Oryctolagus cuniculus: one gene and its partners. The protein of the gene in region 3 interacts with the protein of the main gene of each other region in a biochemical or structural test. Links are inferred from orthologs where the notes say so. Each region holds a gene or a part of one and is shown on either strand. Other genes may lie near its edges.

Evidence for each region.
Region 1: the proteins of KDR (region 3) and SHC2 form a complex in vitro, tested with the Homo sapiens proteins (2 studies listed by BioGRID). The link is inferred for Oryctolagus cuniculus from reciprocal best matches to the Homo sapiens genes KDR and SHC2.
Region 2: the proteins of KDR (region 3) and HSPG2 form a complex in vitro, tested with the Homo sapiens proteins (2 studies listed by IntAct). The link is inferred for Oryctolagus cuniculus from reciprocal best matches to the Homo sapiens genes KDR and HSPG2.

The regions. Positions count from the first base shown.
Region 1 is NC_091447.1:58,292,427-58,299,443, forward strand, and holds part of SHC2 (SHC-transforming protein 2), read right to left. Parts: intron 6,575-7,017; coding exon 6,521-6,574; intron 6,430-6,520; coding exon 6,378-6,429; intron 6,299-6,377; coding exon 6,172-6,298; intron 5,952-6,171; coding exon 5,795-5,951; intron 3,659-5,794; coding exon 3,592-3,658; intron 2,385-3,591; coding exon 2,238-2,384; intron 1,359-2,237; coding exon 1,063-1,358; intron 574-1,062; coding exon 445-573; 3' UTR 440-444; intron 1-439. UniProt on the Homo sapiens protein: Signaling adapter that couples activated growth factor receptors to signaling pathway in neurons. Involved in the signal transduction pathways of neurotrophin-activated Trk receptors in cortical neurons.
Region 2 is NC_091438.1:149,170,155-149,177,497, reverse strand, and holds the end of HSPG2 (basement membrane-specific heparan sulfate proteoglycan core protein), read right to left. Parts: coding exon 7,281-7,343; intron 7,157-7,280; coding exon 7,048-7,156; intron 6,622-7,047; coding exon 6,523-6,621; intron 6,154-6,522; coding exon 5,932-6,153; intron 5,672-5,931; coding exon 5,427-5,671; intron 5,097-5,426; coding exon 4,925-5,096; intron 4,842-4,924; coding exon 4,719-4,841; intron 4,615-4,718; coding exon 4,558-4,614; intron 3,021-4,557; coding exon 2,945-3,020; intron 2,857-2,944; coding exon 2,778-2,856; intron 2,625-2,777; coding exon 2,554-2,624; intron 2,451-2,553; coding exon 2,367-2,450; intron 2,093-2,366; coding exon 1,989-2,092; intron 1,841-1,988; coding exon 1,668-1,840; 3' UTR 721-1,667; downstream 1-720. Other genes in the region: LDLRAD2 (low-density lipoprotein receptor class A domain-containing protein 2), read left to right, coding at 1-125, 211-428. UniProt on the Homo sapiens protein: Integral component of basement membranes. Component of the glomerular basement membrane (GBM), responsible for the fixed negative electrostatic membrane charge, and which provides a barrier which is both size- and charge-selective.
Region 3 is NC_091439.1:109,314,693-109,321,904, reverse strand, and holds the end of KDR (vascular endothelial growth factor receptor 2 precursor), read right to left. Parts: intron 5,293-7,212; coding exon 5,193-5,292; intron 4,707-5,192; coding exon 4,621-4,706; intron 2,182-4,620; coding exon 1,959-2,181; downstream 1-1,958. UniProt on the Homo sapiens protein: Tyrosine-protein kinase that acts as a cell-surface receptor for VEGFA, VEGFC and VEGFD. Plays an essential role in the regulation of angiogenesis, vascular development, vascular permeability, and embryonic hematopoiesis.

The sequences.
Region 1 (7,017 bases), on a different chromosome or scaffold from region 3:
CACCCACACCAGCCCGTGCACGGACGCCCTCAGGGGTGAGTGGACACACATGGCATGGACCCCCCCCTCCCCCGGGGCATCACACAGCCAGAGCAGGAGTGAGGCTCTGACATGCGCCACACATGCAGGACCCTGAGGACGTCACCCAGGGAGAGACGCACACACGGAAGGCCCCACGTGTGGGCTCCACTGACGGGAAACGCCCAGCACAGGGGCTGGAGGGGGAGAGGGAGTGGCTTCCTGGAGACCAGGGTTACTACTGGGTGAGAACGTTCCGGAAGCAGACAGAAGCGAGGGCTGCCTGACCATGAGGATGTGCTAACACCCACCACGGCGAATCCTCCTAACGGCCGATCTGCGCGCTGCGGGGCGTGTAGCTCATCTTTTGGTAAGGAGAGCAAACAGCCTGCTGCCTGGGCAAGCAGCAGGTGACACACACCTGGCTCAGGGCTCCCGGGTGACCACCCCGCGCAGGTGCAGCTCGCTCTCGGCAGCCACGATGGGCTGCCCGTTCTGCAGGTGGTAGCTGATGAGGTGGCTGATGCTCTCAAACAACACATCCTTCGTCCGCACCTGCAGGGCCAAACACAGCGTCCGCGTCACAGAGCGCGGCCAGCAATGTGCCTCCACGGCCCCCCGGGGAAGTCCAGCCTGCGCCTCCTCTGAGCACCCCCGGGGCTCCTGGCCAGCGAGGAGTCCACTGCCACCGCCCCGGGCCGGTCCTGCACCTGCAGCAGCTCAGCACCACACCTGAGCGCCTGGTACGAGAGATCTTGCTTGGAAAGCCCGACTACACGTGGCTGAGAAAGCCGTATTTTCGCCCAAAGACATCGGTGTCTACTGGAAGGTGCTGGTGGCCGCGGGAGGAGAGCGCATCGGACCCAGGTGACCCGCGGTGCCTTGCACATCCGGAAACTGAACCGCGGGAGCACTTTTGTGAACCACAATTCGGGAGCCCTGAGATTCCTGCCAGCTTGCAAAGCACTGGGGGATGCTACTGCGGCCGGAAGGGCGTGGCCTGGACGCCTCCGGAAACCCGCCCGCCCGCCCGCGCCCGCTTACCACGCCCTCGGGGTCCACGAGGAGCAGGTGCTTGGGCTGCCCGGCCTGCATGCCCGAGAGGACGTACTGCCCGGGGTTGGTGACGCTGTCGCGCACGAGGAAGTCCCCGTCGGCTCGAAGCAGCTTCTCGGCTGCGCGGCGGCTCATGCGTCCGTGGTACCAGGGCTCCTGCCGCAGCTGCTCCTCCGTGGGGGCCACGGGGGCCCGGCGAGTGGGCGGGCTGGGCCACTGGTCCTCCAGGGGGAGGGGGGCTGCCAGGGCGCACTCGTGGAGCCTGAGCGCATCCTCAAAGGGCCCTGCGGAGGGAGGAGAGGGGTGGGCGCGGGGCCGGAGCTGGAGGGCGGGCGGCTCCCCCCAAGCTTCCAGGCGGCGTCTGGGCCCCGCGCCGCCGCGCGCACAGCCTGGCGCCCTCCCCGGCGACCACACATCTGCCTCCCCCTGGTTTCCGGCTGCCCCGCGCCCTCCCTCCCAGCGTGGGCTCTCGCGGGTCACTGCTGGTCCTACAGCACTGGCCACGGCTGGCGGCGCAACACTGCTCCCCCCACCCCGGACACCTGCCATCGCCACTGCCCACCAAGCAGAAGTCCCTCCGCGTCCTGCTTCCAGCGGGGACCACTGTGGTTTGGACACGCCCCTCAGAGCCAGCGTGCACCCAGCCTCACCGCCCAGCCCCGGGGCTCCCTCCCCTTACGCCAGCGTCCCCAGGCCTGGCAACAGTCAGAAATCTTGGGGTCGGGTGACACGGATGGGGGCTTCCAGCAGCATGGGGGACCCTAGGGGGCAGTCCTGAGGGACCCCAGCCCCCGCCACATCCAGCAGCAGTGTGGGGTTGCTGGGTCGCTGGGACTGAGTCACTTTGGGTATAGGAAGGCAGGCCCCATCCACCAGATGGACCTCCACCATCAGACTAGTCTCTTCCCGGAGGCGTGGGCCAGGCCGCCCTCATCAGACTGGGGAAACCAGAGATGGGGAGCCACGCCTCCCCAACAGACAGGGCGGGGGTCCAAGCCAGGTTTGGGCACCCCCAGTCTGGGGCCCATGCACCGTGAAACACCATGGGAGCGTGCCACAGCCTCTCCCACCCGACTGCAGACTCCCACAGAAGATCCCAGAGTTCCTCTGTGGGAGCCCACCAGGCCTCCCCCGTCAGACAGGGCCCCCCAGGCCCCACGTACGCATGTCGAACAGGTCCTTCTTGGGGCTGTCCTCGGCTGGGTCCTCAGGCTCTGCGCTGTCCAGCCCCTGGGTGTTGACGTACAGGTGCTCCTCATAGTCCCGCGGCCCCTGGGCGTCCGCCTGCACGTAGCCGTCCCCCGGCGGCGCTGGCGAGGGAGGGGAGTGCTGAGGTCAGCGGGGATGCGGGAGGGGCTCTGGACGGGGGGAGGCCGCCCCATCCGCTCGCAAAGGCCCAGGCACAGTGGGCTGGAAAGCCGCACAGGGGCCTGAAGTGACCGGAGAGGCCCAGGTGCCGGGGGGCCCTGCGCTCCTGTGGTCCGCCACTCCTGCCTGACTCCCCCACGTTCTCTCTGCCGTCTGCGGGCGTGGGGCCAAGGCGCAGCTGCATGGCCGGTCTCCCTGACCCCTGACTGCCGTGGGGTTGCAGGAAGAAGGGGTGCATGGGTGGGGCCTTCACCTATACAGCTCACGTGTGACCACTGCCGTGTCCCCAGCACACGTGTGACCGCTGCCGTGTCCCCAGCACACGTGTGACCTGGCTGCTGTGTCCCCAGCACACGTGTGGCCTGGCTGCCGTGTCCCCAGCTCACGTGTGACCACTGCCGTGTCCCCAGCACATGTGTGACTGCTGCCGTGTCCCCAGCACACGTGTGGCCTGGCTGCCGTGTCCCCAGCTCACGTGTGACCTGGCTGCCGTGTCCCCAGCACACGTGTCACCTGGCTGCCGTGTCCCCAGCACACGTGTCACCTGGCTGCCGTGTCCCCAGCTCACGTGTGACCACTGCCGTGTCCCCAGCACACGTGTAACCGCTGCCGTGTCCCCAGCACACGTGTGACCTGGCTGCCGTGTCCCCAGCACACGTGTGACCTGGCTGCCGTGTCCCCAGCTCACGTGGGACCACTGCCGTGTCCCCAGCACACATGTGACCGCTGCCGTGTCCCCAGCACACGTGTTACCTGGCTGCCGTGTCCCCAACACACGTGTTACCTGGCTGCCGTGTCCCCAGCTCACGTGTGACCGCTGCCGTGTCCCCAGCACACGTGTCACCTGGCTGCCGTGTCCCCAGCTCACGTGTGACCGCTGCCGTGTCCCCAGCTCACGTGTGACCGCTGCCGTGTCCCCAGCACACGTGTGGCCTGGCTTCCGTCCATGCATGTTCTGGGAGCTCCCCGACCAGGGAGGGGGGCGGGAGCAGTGAGCGACTTCCTGTGAGGCCTCCACCCTCCTGGGTGCCTGGAGCCATTTGACACAGGGACCCCAAGGGACCTGGGGGCTCAGATAGGAGCAGGGCGCCAAGCTGGGCTGAGGGGCCCCTGGCGGCCTTGGGGGTGTGCGGGTTCACCCAGTCCTACCTGCGCCGCAGGGCCAAAGGTCCCACTGCAGGCCACGGGCCTCCCTCCGGGCAAGAGAGGACGTTCCCTGAGAGAGAAGCATGGGGCCCCTCACCACCCACACACCCTGCCCAGCACCCAGCCTCCCTCCTCCCAGGGACACTGGGGGTCTCCGCCCTAGACCCTCCCTGGGCACCCAGAGCCCACCGGGGTCTGCATGGTGCCCACCACCCACCCTTCACCAGCCTTCTCCCCATGCAAGGGCAGCCCAGCCCTCCTGCCAAGCCCACCCTGGCCCCTCTGTCCACCATGCTGGTCACTCTGTCTGCCACCTGGCCCTCTGTTGTGCTGGCCCCACTGTCCACCACCCTGGCCCCTCTGCCCACCACCCTGGCCCCACTGCCCACCACCCTGGCCCCTCTGCCCACCACCCTGGCCCTCTGCTGTGCTGGCCCCTCTTCCCACCATCCTGGCCCCTCTGTCCACCACCCTGGCCCCGCTGCCCACCACGCTGGCCCCGCTGCCCACCACCCTGGCCCCACTGTCCACCACCCTGGCCCCACTGCCCACCACCCTGGCCCCTCTGCCCACCACCCTGGCCCTCTGCTGTGCTGGCCCCTCTTCCCACCATCCTGGCCCCTCTGTCCACCACCCTGGCCCCGCTGCCCACCACGCTGGCCCCGCTGCCCACCACCCTGGCCCCACTGTCCACCACCCTGGCCCCACTGTCCACCACCCTGGCCCCTCTGCCCACCACCCTGGCCCCTCTGTCCACCACCCTGGCCCCTCTGTCCACCACCCTGGCCCCGCTGCCCACCACCCTGGCCCCTCTGCCCACCACCCTGGCCCCGCTGCCCACCACCCTGGCCCTTCTGCCCACCACCCTGGCCCCGCTGCCCACCACCCTGGCCCCTCTGCCCACCACCCTGGCCCCGCTGCCCACCAGCCTGGCCCTTCTGTCCACCACCCTGGCCCCTCTGCCCACCACCCTGGCCCTCTGCCCACCACCCTGGCCCTGCTGTCCACCACCCTGGCCCCTCTGCCCACCACCCTGGCCCCTCTACCCACCACCCTGGCCCCGCTGCCCACCACCCTGGCCCTTCTGTCCACCACCCTGGCCCCGCTGCCCACCACCCTGGCCCCTCTGCCCACCACCCTGGCCCCGCTGTCCACCACCCTGGCCCCTCTGCCCACCACCCTGGCCCCGCTGTCCACCACCCTGGCCCCGCTGCCCACCACCCTGGCCCCTCTGCCCACCACCCTGGCCCCGCTGTCCACCACCCTGGCCCCTCTGCCCACCACCCTGGCCCCGCTGCCCACCACCCTGGCCCCTCTGCCCACCACCCTGGCCCCGCTGTCCACCACCCTGGCCCCTCTGCCCACCACCCTGGCCCCGCTGTCCACCACCCTGGCCCCTCTGCCCACCACCCTGGCCCCGCTGCCCACCACCCTGGCCCCTCTGCCCACCACCCTGGCCCCGCTGCCCACCACCCTGGCCCCTCTGCCCACCACCCTGGCCCCGCTGCCCACCACCCTGGCCCTTCTGTCCACCACCCTGGCCCCTCTGCCCACCACCCTGGCCCTCTGCCCACCACCCTGGCCCCGCTGTCCACCACCCTGGCCCCTCTGCCCACCACCCTGGCCCCTCTACCCACCACCCTGGCCCCGCTGCCCACCACCCTGGCCCTTCTGTCCACCACCCTGGCCCCGCTGTCCACCACCCTGGCCCCTCTGCCCACCACCCTGGCCCCTCTGCCCACCACCCTGGCCCCGCTGTCCACCACCCTGGCCCCTCTGCCCACCACCCTGGCCCCGCTGTCCACCACCCTGGCCCCTCTGCCCACCACCCTGGCCCCTCTGCCCACCACCCTGGCCCCTCTGCCACCACCCTGGCCCCGCTGCCCACCACCCTGGCCCCTCTGCCCACCACCCTGGCCCCGCTGCCCACCACCCTGGCCCCTCTGCCCACCACCCTGGCCCCTCTGTCCACCACCCTGGCCCCTCTGCCTGCCCTGCTGGCCCCCACACTGCTCTCCCAGGCCCAGCCCAGAGGTTGCTTCTTCAGGAAAGGCCTCCCCCCACCCACCCCCCCACCAGTCCTGCTGTGGGCACAGCCAGGATGAAGTGGACACGGGAATGACAGAGCCCAGCTCAGGAAAACTGAGCAGATGGAGCGACAGGGCACCTGGGGGTCGGGTCAGGGGTTCAGGACACAAAGGCTGACCTGGCCGAGGGTCCCGAGGGCGCAGGGCTGGGCGAGGGCCAGCCTGGAGTCCACCAGCCCCCCCAGGGGCGGCTCCTTGCCTGGGATACTGTTGTAGTAGCTGTGCTCCGGGGGCTCCTCCTCCTCTCCCCAGGCCGACTCCTCCTGCCCGGTCAGCCTGGACAGAGGACACTGAGCTCCCAGCACAGCCCCCACGCAAACACACAGGGTGGGGGACCACGTGCCCCGGGGCCCCCTCCAGAGCCAGAGCCCAGGCACCCACACACTTAGGGCGCCCTTGGTCTTGCAATGCAGCCCGCAGCCCTGTCCGGCGGCCATCCTCCCAGCAGACACGGCCAGCCTGCAGCCAGGAGACGGGAGCCCCGCCGGTGGCTTACCTGTCCGGGGGCGCGCCCACCTGCGGGGGGCTGTGCAGGTACTGTTTGAAACGCAGCTCAAAGGCCTGGCCCACGGTGCTGATGACGCGCTGTGCGAGCCCCTCACAGCACTCCAGGATGTGGCAGGCTGGGGGGCACAGGCGTCAGGACCCAGCGGCTGCAGCCCCTGCCCACGCCCCCCGCTGCAGCCATGGCCGCAGCCTCACCTCTCTGGTTGACTGGGTCCTTGGCCACGTAGGCCACGTAATCTGTCATGTCCTGGGGGGGGGCAGTGGGAGCAGTCAGCGGGGCCATCTGGGACCCCGGCGTGGGCAGGTGCTGCAGGTTTGCCCCCCCAGCCTGGCCTTACCTTGTCACCACCGGACGCAAAGGAGATGGACTGCATGTGGTGGCTGGCGATGGTCTGTGGCCGAGAGGCACAGGTGGTCACAGGGGCCCCGGACAGCAGGGACCAGGGGGGAGACAGGCGGTCACAGAGGCCCCAAAGCAGGGACCAGGGGGGAGACAGGCGGTCACAGAGGCCCCAAAGCAGGGACCAGGGGGGAGACAGGCGGTCACGGGGGTCCCAAACAGCGGGGACCAGAGGGGACAGGCCCTGGGCCAGGCTAGCCAGCACACCTGAGCATCCAAGGAGCTGGGGACCCAGGGGAGGGCAGGACTGGGGTTCCAGGTGGTGCGCACACCCCCCAGTGGTGGACTGTCTCCCAGTGCAGCACTTGGACACTCCCATACAGGTCAGCATCCCCGGATACACAGACACAGGGAGACACACAGACACACAAACTCACACACACACACACACAAGCTACCCCTGTAGCTCACTCCCCACATACACAGACACAGAGA
Region 2 (7,343 bases), on a different chromosome or scaffold from region 3:
CGGCGACACCTCCGAGTCCCCGCCTTTCTCCTGGGCTCCCGGGTCTGCAGGCTCCCCCCAGACCACAGCTCCGAGGAGTCCCCCAGAGGGCCGGGGCCGCGCACTCCAGGACACAGCTTTGGAAGGTAGGAGCACTCGGCATCACACATGGTGAAGACAGACAGGGCATCGGCCTGGGCTGAGGGCTGAGTGGGCTCTTCCTTCCCGCAGGTCCCTGGCGATGGGGCGTGGCGCTGGCCTCCTCTCTGCTCCTGGCCTGTGCTGGCCTCCTCGTGGGTCTCCTCTGGTGCTGCTGCTCCTTTGGCCGGCTGGCCTGGTGGCCTGCTGCTCCAGCCTGCACTGTCTGCCGCGTGTGTCCTGGCCAAGTCGCCCCCGGAGGGCTGCAGCTGAGTGGGCCAGTCTCCCCAGGTCGGGGAGACCACCCCTAGAGGGGCTGCGGGCGTCAGAGAGGGCTCTGGGGTCAGATGGACCTCGGGTTCCAACCCCTCAGCTGGCTGACCTTGGGTCAGCCACTTAAACCCCTCAGGGAATGGGACATTCCCGCCCTGCAGGGTGGTGGTGAGGGCTGGGGGGGTGGGGGCGGTGACCAGGCCCGAGCTCTGCTGGTGGCTGCGCTCTGCAGTGGGGGCTGCCTCGCTTCACTCCTGGACCTCGGCTGCTCTCTCTGCCCCACTGCAGGGGCCCTGGAGCCAAACCCCAGTAAAGCACACAGGCAAGCCCTGGCGGGGATAGCACCGTTTATTAAGAAAAATCAGGACAAAGACCACAGAGGGTCCGTTCTCGGACATGGAGGCCGGGCGTCCCAACCCCCCAGCCTCGGACAGGCTCCCGTCGATGGGACAGGCTGGCGATCCCCTTCCTAAGGCACCAACTCCTCCGACCGCCAGCAGCCCCCCAGTCCCCTGGGCCTTCACTTCCAGACGAGTGGGGGGATGGGGCCTGGCGTGGGTGGAGAGCCTCTCAGTGCTCAGCTCTGCCTGGAACAGCTCCGGCGGGGGCGGGGGGGGGGGGTGTTCCCTTGTAGCCCCTGTGGTCAGGGACCCTGGGCTGTGCGTGGGAGGTGGGGAGTGCAGGCCAGGGGGCTTGGTGGGAGTGGGGAGGCTTCCCGGCACAGGTGGCCTGGCCGGCTGGGGGCGGGGAGATGGAGGGAGGCTGAGACGTGGGCTGGGGGGAGGGGGAGCTGCCTTCTGCGCCACAGCAGACGCTAGAGAGCTTCCCAGCCCAGAGGGGGTGGCCAGGGCTCCCGTGATGCCCTCCTGTTCCAGGTAGACGGCGAGCACCAGGATGGAAGCCGAGGTGGGCTCTCCCAGGAATGAGGGCTGGCAAGGGCTGCTGAGGTGGGCATCCTGGCTCTGCCCGGAGGGGCCCCTCAGGGCGGCCGCGTGGGAGCAGCTCAGGGCCTGCCCAGCCACCGTGCCTGACTCCACGTCCTGGTGGCCTCCTGGGGCGTCTACTCCATCCGACCTGCCCCGCCTACCAGCCTTGTGGCTTTGCCCAGGTGTGCGTGGGGGTGTCATCCCCCCTCCAGTCCAGCCCAGGGCGGTAGCAGCAAAGCGTGGCATCGCCTCGGTTTCTTACAAAAAATCATCATAATAATATTAATAATAATATACTCGACATGGTCGGGCTGGGCGCTGCCCGGGAGTCCGTTGGGGGCAGGCAGGTGCCTACGAGGGGCAGGGGCGCGTGTTGGCCCCAGCCTGGGCGCGGTGCTGCAGGTCCAGGGGCTGTGGGGGTGGGCCGCCGGGCCGGGCCGAGTGCAGCACCAGGTTCTTGATGCAGCCCGTGATGCCCGAGGAGAACCTGCCTCCAGTGAGAGCGGCCACGTCGGGGGCTCCGCCTGCGGGAGGCGAAGCGAGGGAGTGAGTTGGCTCCAGAAGCCAGGAGGGGAGGCAGGGCAGGTGCACTGCTCTCGACATGAGTGCCATTCCCTCCCCTCACACTGAGGGTGGCTCCAGGCCTGCAGTGGACCCGAGCCTGGTGCTTACCCACGTAGACGCTGCCTTTGGTGTTGACTGCCACGTTCCGGCCTGGGGACTGGCCGCTGACCAGCTCCTCACCGTCCACCTGGATGGAGCCTCGGCGGCCCTCTCTGTAGTGGAACTGGGTCAGGCCCCTGCCACAGACCGCCCCCCCTCTTCCCAGGCCCACCCAAGGAATCGCAGCTGCCCCCAGCCCCCTGAGCTCCTTGGCGCCCGCCGGGTGAGAGACTGGGCCCCGACAACCCCGTTTCCTGGTCTCTCTGCCCAGCTTCAGGTTCTATCTCTGCAGAGCTCAAATGCCCGCCTCCCTGCCCTCCACGGAACTTGGGGTCCCACCCCAGAACTTGGGGCCCCTTGCCCGAGTGCCCAGTCGGGCTCCCTCACCGCAGCGCCGTCACCCGATGCCACTCGCCGTCATTGATGGGGTCCTCAGAGACAAGGCGGGCCTCCCCACTGCCCAGCTGGTAGCTGCGGTCACGGGCCCCAGAGAGTATGAGCCAGACAGGAACGGAGGAGGGGGTGGGGGTGGCGGGGGTGGGGGCGCTGCAAGCTGCTCAGGGGCGGGACCCACCTGAAGACAAGGTGCCCATCCTGAAGCCCAAGGCCGATGAAGTCCTTGCCTCGGCTGGCCTCTCCCATCTCCTGCCGGGGAAGCACAGGGTCTCTTGGGGCCCCCTGCCCTGGAGAGCAGAGGCCCTGGAAAACAGTAGCCTCCCCCTTCCTCTCTCCCCGTGGCCCCGGCCAGCAGGAGGCCGGCTGCCTGCCCCAGAAACTGGGCCACGTGCCCACACTCACCACTCCCTGCCAGAGCAGGAGGCCGCTGGCTGTGCTGGTCCGAACCTCCAGCTCGATGGTCTCGGGCACCTCCGGCAGGCTGCGGGCAGGGGAGGAGGGCGTGAGGGGCAGAGCCCTGGAATCCCAGGCTCCCTCCAGGCCCCCGGTCCTGCCAGGGCCCGCCTCACCTTCTGGAGAAGACATGTCCCGGGAGGGCCAGGAAGCCGCCGTCGTGGAAGTAGGCGCTGTACTGGCCCGGGGCGTCTGCGGAAGCAGGGGGGCGGGGCGGTGGTGAGCAGCAGGTGTGAGTGCCCCGACCCCACCTCGGCTGTGACCTGGGCACTCCTGGGCTCTGAACCTGCAGTCCCCGAGCAGCCCCGGGGGCCGTCGACTGGGCAGAGAACCATCCCGTCTGCTTTTATTCACTTCGTACTGAAGTTTGGCCGTTACGGACGTAGGTGACAAAGCAGGGACCCGGCCACTAACACTGGCTTAGCCCGCGGCTCGAGTGTAGAAATTTCCAGTACTGCGGGCGCTGCCCACTGCTTTGACGCCGTGGTTGCTATTAGGACCTCCGCTAGGCCTCCCTATTTATTGTGCTAATAAAGAAGTGCAGAGATGACAAATCTAAAAGTATTTCCATACATTTCGGCTCAACCGGTGTCCTTGGCTTCACATGGTCGGGCAGGCTCTTGTGGGCTGGCCCCCTTCCCCATCTGCCAGGCTCTGGCTGGCTTTGGCGCTGCAGGTCCCACATCCCCAGACAGCCCCTCGGTCCTGAGCAGGCCGGGACGGGCGGTCGCCTGGGCCATGGCGAACAGTGGTTTGGAGCCTTGGTGCTCTCCCGGTTTTACAGATGGGAGGTCAGACTCAGCTGAGCTACCTGCCCAGGGAGTGGGAAGCCTGGAGTGCCACCTGTGCCCACCAACTGGGCCCTGGTCTTTCCCGTAGGTCCTGTGTGCAGCTCCTCCACCCCCATCTGCTCACGACCCACCCTCGGGCTAGCACTGGGCAGGACGCTTGGCCACCGTCCCCCGGACAATGGCTGCTGTCATCTGCCAAGCGCCCATTGTGAGCCTGTGCAGGGAGCTTCACAGCCAGCTGCCAGCCTCATTCCCCTGAGCTGAGACCTCCAGCACCCCACAGTCAAAGGGGCCAGCGTCCCAGACCAGATGCTGTTCTGAGCATGCTCAGTATACCCAACCATTTTACTCTCAGGCAGCATTGTACCCAAAGCCTCTGGGAAGAGATTCCTTCTATTTTATACATGGGGAGACTAAGGCACAGAGAGGTCAAGGGACTCATCCAAAGGCACACAGCTATTAAGGGGCAGGCTAGGACTTGAACCCAGGCAGGCTGGCTCCAGGGTCTGGGCTCTTTAACTACTCCACACCATCTCTCCTAGTCTGTTAGTGTGGAGTAAGGAACACGTACCTAAACAGGAGCTAGCACAGAGCCTGCAAGGGACCAATGAGCATTCTTTATCATATTATGGGGGAGTCCTGGAGAATGAGGGTCCTTACTCATCTATGCTTCACTGTCCCCAGTATGGGCACGGGGAGGACAGCAAGGTCAGAGTGGCTCAAAGACCTGTCCGAGGTCACCCTGCCGGTCAGCATGGGGCAGGACTCAGCTCTGGGCAGTGCCCTTCTTCATTCTGCCCTTTCTGTGCCCTGTGAGGCCCTCACACAGCCTGTTTTGCTCAGGATTGAAGACGTGGGCTGGAGAGCGGGGCTGAGGGACAGAAGCCAGGGAGGAGACCAGCACCCCGGCTTCCCTGTGGGTCACAGCAGGCACCTACCGCTGCCCCCGCTGCCTTCCAGGTGCCAGTCGGACTCCGCGAGGCCATGTCCAGGACCTACGGGAAAGACCGGGGCCCAGTTGGTGGGCACAGCTCCGCTGCGCGCTGGGTCCAGCCCCAGGGTCCCAAGAGGGCGGTGGAAAGCAGCCAGGGCCGTGTACCTTGCTGGCAGCGTGGGCCCGAGAAGCCAGGGAGACAGAGGCAGCGGGTGCCCTGGCAGGTGCCCCCATGCAGACAAGGCTCGTGGAGCTGGCAAGGGTTCTCCTCCTGCTCACAGAGGTCACCTGGGGGCCAGGGCAGAGGTGAGGGCGTGGTGGGCATGGGCCAGAGGTGTCGCGGACCCCCAGCACCCGGGCAGCTGTCCTACCTTTGAAGCCGTCGCGACACAGGCACTGGAATTCGTACTCGCCAGCGGGCATGCAGGTGGCACCGTTCTGGCAAGGCTGGCGCTCACACGGGGAGCTGTCGTAGCACTGCCCGACGCCCTGGCTGCCGAGGAAGCTGTAGGTGAGGTCCAGCCGCTTCCCGTTCACAGACACCTGTGGGCACAGGGACATCGAGGGACTAAAGGGGTGCAGGAGGCAGGGGGACACGTGAGCCAGCCAAGAGGAAGAGGTAGAGGGTAGATGGGAGCCTTGCGACAGGTGGACCAGAGGTGCCGAGGTGACACCCCTATGTGCCAGGAACAGCCGTCCACCCGGGCGGTGGGTCCCTCAGTGCACTGCTGCAACAGAGGTGTTGGTCCCATTTTACAGAGGGGGAAACTGAGACTCTGAGGCGAACCATCTTTCCCAGGACCCCAGTGGGACACGGCCGGCGGCTCAGCCTGCACCCCTCTCCCCTAGTCATTCTCGCAGGTGGCTCCTCACCTCGCCCACGCAGCCGCGGAAGTGAGCACTGACGTTGGCGGCCGGGGACAGCGGCACGGAGGGCTCCACGCCACCCAGGTAGAGGAGGGTGTGCAGGTTGAGGCCCTGGCTCTTGCCGGGAGAGGAGCGGAGCACGGGGCGGCCGCCGTTCACCCGCAGGCTGCCGTCCTTGTTGAGGCGCTCAGCAGACACGCGGTGCCAGCGGCCCAGCGCCAGCGGCTCGGGGCTCCGCAGAACAGCCAGCCCTGGGGTGTGGGGGACAGCAGTCAGGGCTGGGGACTTGGGCAGATGGGGAACTTCCCACATCGCTGGCCACCCCAAAGGAGGAACCCAAGGCTCTGGGGACGGGCTTAAAGTCACCGTGGCAAGGGACAGTAGCAACAGGGGACCACAGGGGCCTGACCCCCGAGTCTCCTCCTCCCCGCCTCCGTGGGGCATGGAAGGCCAAGGGGGCCACAGAGCTTGGGACCCTGAGGCCCATCTGCCTCTGGCGCCCGGTACGTACCTGACCCCAGTTCATAGCGGAACTCCAGGTGGCCACCAGCCATCGCCAGGGACACGAAATCCTCCACAGGCCCGCTCTTCCCCCCGCTGAACAGCAAGATCCCATCGGGCGCCAGCGGCTTGAACTCAACGTCCAGGCGTAGCTCGTGGTGTGTGTTGGTGAGGGCGGGCAGTGCCAGGTAGGAGCCGGCGCCCGACATGGAGGGGGTGGTCACTGTCACACCTGTGGCAGCCACAGCTCAGCCAGGGCGCAGCAGTGGGGATGCCGGAGTGTGGGGCGGGTCCTGCTGCTCAGCCCCGCTCCGGGACCCCCGCCGACCACAGGGGCTCAGGACCAGCTGCAAGGCAGCCGGAGCAGCCTGGGAGCCTCTGTGCCCGGCACTGCACACCAGGCTGGGAGGGACTCTCATAAGAGAGGGACCCTCACGGGAGGGATTCAGGCTGGGCGGACCTGCGGCCAGGTAGTTTTGTACTGGTTCTGGCTCTGGGCTGAGTTTATACCTGTAGGGCCCATCTTAGTCTCAGGGTGCCCTGCTCAGCTTCCCCAACCATCACTGAGCCCCCAGGGCATCCCGGGCCCACTTCCACTCACCTTCCTCACACCTCGGCCCCGAGCGGCCCAGGTGGCAGCGGCAGGTGTAGCCCCGACCATCGGGCCGGTTCACACAGGTGGCGTCTGGCCCACAGGCCTCTGGGGGACACACAGGCCAGTGAGGAGGACAGAGGTGACTTGGGGGGGGGTGGGGCCCTGATGCACGTGTGTCCTTGGCTAGCTGTGGCCAAGGCGGCCTGGGAGGGCTTCCCAGGAGGCTGGGGGCAGTGAGTGAGTGGCTCCATGGTCACAGGATGCCTGGTGGTCAGCATCCAGCCAGCAGTGACCAGGGCAGGGGAGGCGGGGCTGGGTATGATGGGAGATGGGTGTGATCCTCCCTCAGTGAGTGAGATGGTAGTGGGCAGGCACCTGTGTGGTGGTGATGGGGGCTCCCTGGCTGGCAGAGCTGGAGGAGGGGCTATCTGGGAGGAGTGGGACGCTCTTGGCTAAGCGTGATGGGCTGGGGTGTGGGTGGAGAGGAAGGGGTGGCAGAGGCGAGCATCCAGGCAGACGTGGGGTACACACCTGGGTGGCAGTGCAGGGCCTGCGAGTGCTCACAGCGGCTCCCGGTGAAGCCAGCCGGGCATACGCACACATAGCTGCTGCTCTCCGAGTCGTGGCACTGGCCCCCGTTCTGCAAAGCAGCCCTCAAGAGTCAGGCCGAGCACACCCTGGCCCTCCCCTCTCCTCACAGGGGCTGGCCGCGGCCGAGGGAGGGCAGTGGCTGGGGCCGCCAGGGGGCGCACGCGTGGGCTCACCTGGCAGGGCCGGTCCCGACAGGTCGGGCAGTGGGAGATGCCGTGCGCGGTGAGGTTGAGGTC
Region 3 (7,212 bases):
CACAGCCACCCGCTTCTCCGTCATAAAACTGGGCAGGTCTCAGTGGGACGACAGGTTTGACAGACGCTACGGGAGGCAGTTCCACAACCACGGGAAAAGGGGGCGCAAGTGCAGGTGGCGATGCCCTGACCCTCACGTGTGCAAATAAATCCCAAGTGGACTCAAGTGCAACCAGAGAGGCAAACCTAGAATGTGGGGTTGTTTTAGGATTGGGAAGACCTTCCTCGATCACATGAAGAACCGAAGAGCCACCGAAAGAGGCATATGTGACACATTGCAAAATCCCGTGTAACAAGTCACAACAAAAGTAGGGAGATTCATCAGTGCCAGTGATTGTTCTGAGACATGAGGTCCATGGGCAGGACACGGAAACACGGATCTCGGTCTGTGTTACAAATACGATCGTGTGTGTGTGTGTGTGTGTGTGTGCACGCGCGTGAATTCTCTGTGCAATGAACAATTACAACTCAAGCCAGGAGTACTTGTTCTCAAAATAGCTGTGATAGTACCATACCATTTGTTTTTTTTTTTTTACTATGAATATCTTTATTGCTTACAAAGTAGATGAACATTTATGAAAATATCCTTTATGAGATGAAGAGAGGCACCAGTAAAAATGCAAAACAGTCATACTATGTCTAACTCCCCCTCCTCCCTTTGAAAAACCAAAGAAATGGCAGGTACAGGAGAGAATCCTTTAAGGTTTCAATGCTTTTTTTAATAAAATGACAACAATTGCTGAAATACGATGGCCATTGTTATGCTACATAATACTGATACGAAGGGTGAATAGTACAAAGTTCATTATATATATTATACGGTTTTAATATATTACATTTGTTTCTACATAAACAGACTATAAATATGTGTGCCATAGCATGTCTTATAGCCATTGTTCCCAGCATCTCACACTATGGTACCAACCAATGGAAAAATAGTTTCTTCTTTTTTTTTTTAAAGAAAAGAACAGAACAAGGACAAAAATCAGAAGAAACAGCTTCATATGTTAAAAGTCTAAATAATACAATAGATGTTATTATAACTTTGGCTATAAAGTAATTTTGAAAAAAACAAAAAGCTAACAGTCAAGAGAGTGAACAAATCGAGTTGGGCTTACTGGAGTGTGGAGGGCCCCCAAAGAACCAATGTGGGGGCGAGGGCGTGGGGCTGGGAGGGGGGAGAAGGGGCGCAAGGCTGACACCTGCTGCGGTCAGTCCCAGACACCAGCCACCAGGTCGGCCAGGTGTACACTCAGCCAGACGCTCTAGAAGCCGCCTGCAGGGTCAGACTCCTGCCCGGGACAGGGCACCTCGGGCCCAGTGTCTTTCCTTCTCGGCGCTCTGCAGAGCAGATCGGCCCGGGAGACAAGGCGCCAGACCTGCGTCATTTCCTTCCCGGGACTCGGCCAGGAGCCACGTCAGGGTGCGGAAGGACCTCTCATCAGGGGTCGGAAGCGCACCAGGGACTCTCCTTTGGCCCAGCTGCCCAGAGCACGCAAACTCCTCCAACCAGAAACCCCGGGCGGCCTTTCCTAAGAGACCAGGGGCCACCTTCGCCGGAGCCAACACGAGGCGTGGGCAGGCCCCGCAGCCTGCACAGCGCCGTGCACTTGGCCCGGGCCCTGTCCATGGTGGCCGGCCTCACCACCCCCAGCACGGGCAGCACCGCCCAGTTCTCCAGCTCTGGTGGCTCCCCAGGGCCGGCCGCTTCTTCCGGCTGGGGACGTGAGAGGCAGTCTGGAAACCGCTGGAAGGGGAGATCGGCACAGGAGGAGACACACACACATTCTTGGGTCACGAGCATGTTGGGAAGCGCCTGGAAGACTCCTCCCTGCAGTCCGAGGTCCTTTCTGGTTTCTATGGAAACAAAAGTCACATGTGGCTACTTCCCGGCGGCGGTGGCTGGCTGAGCTTCGCCTCTCCCGGGACTTCCAGGAGTGGGGTACGCGGGCACTCCCTTTAAACAGCAGAGGAGCTCAGCAGGGCGCCAGAGTCAGGCTGGAGACCTAGGGCCGGGCCGCCCGCCGGCCCTCCAGCCTCCACCCGCTTTAAAAGTTCCGCCTCCTCACTGGAGGACACCGCGGTGTCTGTGTCGTCCGAGTGGTACCCGGACTGGTAGCCGCTCGTCTGGTTGGAGCTTTCAGATGCCACAGACTCCCTGCTCTTGCTGGACATCATCCCACTGTGGAAGAAACGGAGAGCAAGTGAGTGGGCGGAGGGAAGACAGGGTGCTTGCTTGTCGCCCTAAGCCCGTTCCCAGCTCCACGTGGGCTGTCATCTCCCTGGGGACCCCGCCAGCCACCCTGTCTCTCCCAGTCGTCGTTAATCCGCGTGTCCGGTTGACTGGGACAGTATCTGTTTTCAGGTCCTGGTGTGAACCAGTGGCTGCAGCGTGGTCTCCCCGTCCAGGTGCAAGTCGCTGAAGCCTCCCTTCAAAGGAAAGGCAGTTCCGGGCTCTGCAAAGTTGCCACCCAAGGGAGCGGCTTTCTGGCCCTGCAGAGTGCCAAGTGTGTATACACGGACAGGAGCCAAGAGGCCACTTTGGTGGTCTTAAAGGAAATTAAGGGGCCAGCACTGTGGCGCAGTGGGTTAAAGCTCTGGCCTGCAGCGCCAGCATCCCATATGGGTGCCAGTTCAAGTCCTGGCTGCTCCACTTCCCGTCCAGCTCTCTGCTATGGCCCAGGAAAGCAGTAGAGGATGGCCCAAGTGCTTGGGCCCCTGCACCCACATGGGAGACCTGGAAGAAGTTCCTGGCTCCTGGCTTTGGATCGGCACAGCTCCGGCCATTGCAGCCATCTGGGGAGTGAACCATTAGATGGAAGACCTCTCTCTCTCCCTCTCTGTCTCTCTCTGCCTCTGCCTCTCTGTAACTCTGCCTTTCAAATAAATAAATAAATCTTTAAAAAAAAAACACCAAAGGGACACTGGGATGTTCTCGACGTTCACCAGTGCTCTCCACACTCTCTCTGTGAGGGTACGACCAGGCACAGGTATGGGGGTTATAAGAGTTTTGAACAACTGGAAACTGTACCCCCTTGAGATGTGAGTGCACACAGATCAGGTGTCACAAACCGCTTTTCGCTCCTCAACCCCACATTCCTTGGAAGGACGGAGCCCCAGCCAGAGCGCGGGCTCAGTGGCCTGGCACCCCGACAGACTGGACCCGTGTCAGAATCGGGCAGTGCGCACCGTGCAGACCGAAGCCTTCATGACTGACATCTCAAGCCTCTCTAAGGAGTCTTCCCCTTCATCAGTGCTGCGCCCAAATCACTCAGGCTAAAAAGTTCAAAAAGGGGCCGGTGCTGTTGGCACAGTCGGCTGTTTCAGCCTGTGGCGCCGGCATCCCATATGGGCGCTGGTTCAAGTCCTGGCTGCTCCTTTTCTGATCTATCTCTCTGCTAATGGCCTGGGAAAGCAGTGGAAGATGGCTCAAGTCCTTGGGCCCCTGCACCCGTGTGGGAGACCCAGAAGAAGCTCCTGGCTTCTGGCTTCAGATCGGCCCAGCTTCGGCCGTGGCGGCCATCTGGGGAGTGAACCAGTGGCTGACAGACCTTTCTCTCTGTCTCTCCCTCTCTCCACCTCTCAAATAAATAAATAAAATCTTTAAAACAAAAGTTCAAAAAGAGGTTTGCCAACTCTGTTAATAAATGTTTAAAAGTTACTCCAAAGACTAGACATGGAATGTTTCCTTCAATCCACTCCTTTTTTTTTTTTTTTTTTTTTTTTTTTTTTTTTTTTTTGACAGGCAGAGTGGACAGTGAGAGAGAGAGACAGAGAGAAAGGTCTTCCTTTTGCTGTTGGTTCACCCTCCAATGGCCGCTGTGGCCGGCGCACCACGCTGATCCGAAGGCAGGAGCCAGGTGTTTCTCCTGGTCTCCCATGGGGTGCAGGGCCCAAGCACTTGGGCCATCCTCCACTGCCCTCCCGGGCCACAGCAGAGAGCTGGACTGGAAGAGGGGCAACCGGGACAGAATCCGGCGCCCCAACCGGGACTAGAACCTGGGGTGCTGGTGCCGCTGCAGGTGGAGGATTAGCCTAGTGAGCCACAGTGCCGGCCCTATTATTCTTATGAACACAGATTTCCATGTATTTGTTACGTTAAAAGCAACTACAGGCATTCAAAGCAACTACAAGTTTATGTTGAGTCATATGGGAGAGATTATATTCAAAACCAAATGTAACACTTTGTCTACAATTAAGTACATAAGAATTCAGCAGTATTGAAGCATCTCAAATAAATAGGTGTGGTTTATTCACATAGCATCCGTCCTAAGTGAAGAGTCACTCATTTATGTCCATGATGATTTTAATCTATCGGTAGCTTTAGGGATCGCAACCTGTGAGATTTTTGTTATTTTGCAAGTATCACACAAACTAAGAGGCAAGGTAAATACACTCAGAAATCTCCTAGCACTCACAAATTCTCATCCAAATTAGCCAAATCCTCTCGTTTACCTCGGATTGTTTGTTCTGACTTGTCAATTTCATTGTTCCAGTCTTTGTTGGGTTGCTAATTAAGGACGTTAGCTTCTCCCACCAACAAAGACACTAACAGGCAAAACCCCCCTTAACAGTTTTCAGAATTTCCTGCTGAAATTGGTTTCCTTTGGCTGAGCCTTACCTAAAAGCCGGAACTAATTTGGTTCTGTCTTCCAAAGTTCTCAGCTCTTCTGACGCAAGCACCATGCCACTGTCCGACTGGTTGTCCTGCGTAAGAGACAAGGAGACGCTCGGCTGACTGCGCGCAGGCAGGGACCCGCGACTGACTTCACCTGATTCCCAACTCCTCTATCAGAGCACACGCTCCAGTGTCCTGCAGGGGAAGGTGAAGCTGTCGCAGCTGGAACGGCGCAAGCTAGCGGAGGGCGCAGGTGCTCCCCACAGGTAGGCCCAGGGTGGGGAAGAGAGGAGGCACGGAGCAGCTGGGAGGTCCGTTCCCAGCCCTCTCTCCCAGTGACACTCTCTGCACTTCAGTGAAACTGGGCACGAAGTTAGTCCCTCTTGAACCTTGGACCAGGGCCTTTCTTTCACGGAAAAACCAAAGTTCCATCCCCATAATGACCCCGTGGCACATACCACCAAGCACAGCCCTACGATGGGGCTCCAAGACTCTAAAGCTTAGGCTAATATTTGTGTAGCTAGTGTTTCAGCCTTCGTATTATTTCTAAGACTATTTTTAAAAGATGTACTTACATCTGGGACTACTTTGACTTCTGGTTCCTCCAGCGGAATATCTTCAAATGTTTTTACACTCACAGGCCGGCTTTTTCGCTTAGTGTTCTGCAGATACTGACTGCAAGAGAACAAATATTTATATTTTAGTGGTGGTATATTTGGCTGTAGATACCACAAGTGATACCTAAATTCATTATCTTTCAACCACAGTTGAGCAGCGACCTTCCAAACATCCTTTGGAGAAAGAAAACAAAACAAAACAAAATCTTTGCTAGCACACGTTGAAGGCTTCATTTCCTGTAAAAGTCCATTTAAAAGTATAATGTAACCGGGGAGCCTGGTTCCTTTGAATCATACTTCTGAGGTCCAGCGCTGGCCTAAGGACAACCCCAGCAGACTGCTGGCCTCCTGCATGCACGTGGCAACCCTGAGGGACTCTGGGTATCCCACTCACATCTTTGGGCCCAGAGCCTGGGCCAGTTTTTCCAGACACCACTCACAGAGCAACCTGGACAAGAGGAAGCACCTGTGGGCGTCCCTAAAGCACACTGAACGCAGCGAGGAGCTGCAGACACCTTCCTCCTTCTAGAAGTTTCCATAGAGGGCAGGAGGCGGGCTGAGGCTCAAGAGCCCCCGTTTCGCCTGTCTCAGGAAAGGCCGTATCCTGCGCATGTCAGAGTCTCCCACTGCCCACCCTGACTTGAGACCCCGTGAGTGTTTCTGAGCTGTGGCTGCGCTGGCCGTTCACTGCCCCGCTGCCCAGTGCGCACAGCTGTCGGGAAGGTGAATGAAGTGGCAGGTGTTGGGCTTGGCGTTCTCAGGAAGGTAGCACGCTCCTCTCCTTCGAATTCCAAAAGAAGCCCATTTCCATCAGGAGCTTCCCGCAGAGAACAAGTCAGGTCAGGCGCCAATCACCTCTTCCCTGGGGAGTGCTCCTGTGGGTCGAGGCCACACAATCCTACCAAAACCACACCCAGCCCAAGTCGGGGGATGGGAAGTCCCTGTCGCAGGAAGCGCCCAGAGAGACAGTAAACAGACTCTTCTCCCAACCTATTTCCTCCCATAGGCCGCCTGCTGGAATATGCCCATACACCTCAGGGCAAAGGAGAATGGAGACCTGGCCAGCGCCGTGGCTCACTAGGCTAATCCTCCACCTGTGGTGCCGACACACCGGGTTCTAGTCCCGGTCAGGGCGCCAGATTCTGTCCCAGTTGCCCCTCTTCCAGGCCAGCTCTCTGCTGTGGCCCGGGAGTGCAGTGGAGGATGGCCCAGGTGCTTGGGCCCTGCACCCCATGGGAGACCAGGAGAAGCACCTGGCTCCTGCCTTCGGATCAGCGTGGTGTGCCGGCCACAGCGGCCATTGGAGGGTGAACCAACAGCAAAAGGAAGACCTTTCTCTCTGTCTCTCTCTCTCACTGTCCACTCTGCCTGTCAAAAAATAAAAAAAAAAAAATTAAAAGAAAAAAAAGGAGAATGGAGACCAAGTCTCCCTCCTCCACCAAGGAGGCTGACTCCTCTCCCTACAAGGAAAGAGAACAAACATGGGGTTTGCCAGTGACCCACACACACAAGACTCCACACGACAAACAGGACTCGAGCTGCAGCCAGAAGCAAGGTCCCTAACAGTGGAGCTGTCAACAACGACACGCCCTACACATCCATGTCAATCAGCCATTCACTCACTCAACAGGAAGCCCTCACTGAGGGCCTCCCCCACGTCGGGGAATGCTAAGTGCCCTTCCAACGCCAATATGGCATCCTTACAATGCTACTGCTCTAGGAGCGGGCATTACTAGCCCAGCTCTTCAGGTGGGGAAACTGAGGCACGGGCAGGTCAAGGAACTCGTGAGAAATCCCATGGCTAGAGCGTTATTATTTTGAAGGTGACGAGAAAGCCTGGAGGATTTTAAGCATGGGACTGACATGAGCAGATGCGCCCTTAGAAAGTTCACTTTGGGCTATGGACACAACCAGAGGTAGTGGGACCCACCAGAAGGACAACGCCCTGAACCAGAAGGCAGCCAGGCGCAAGGCAGGG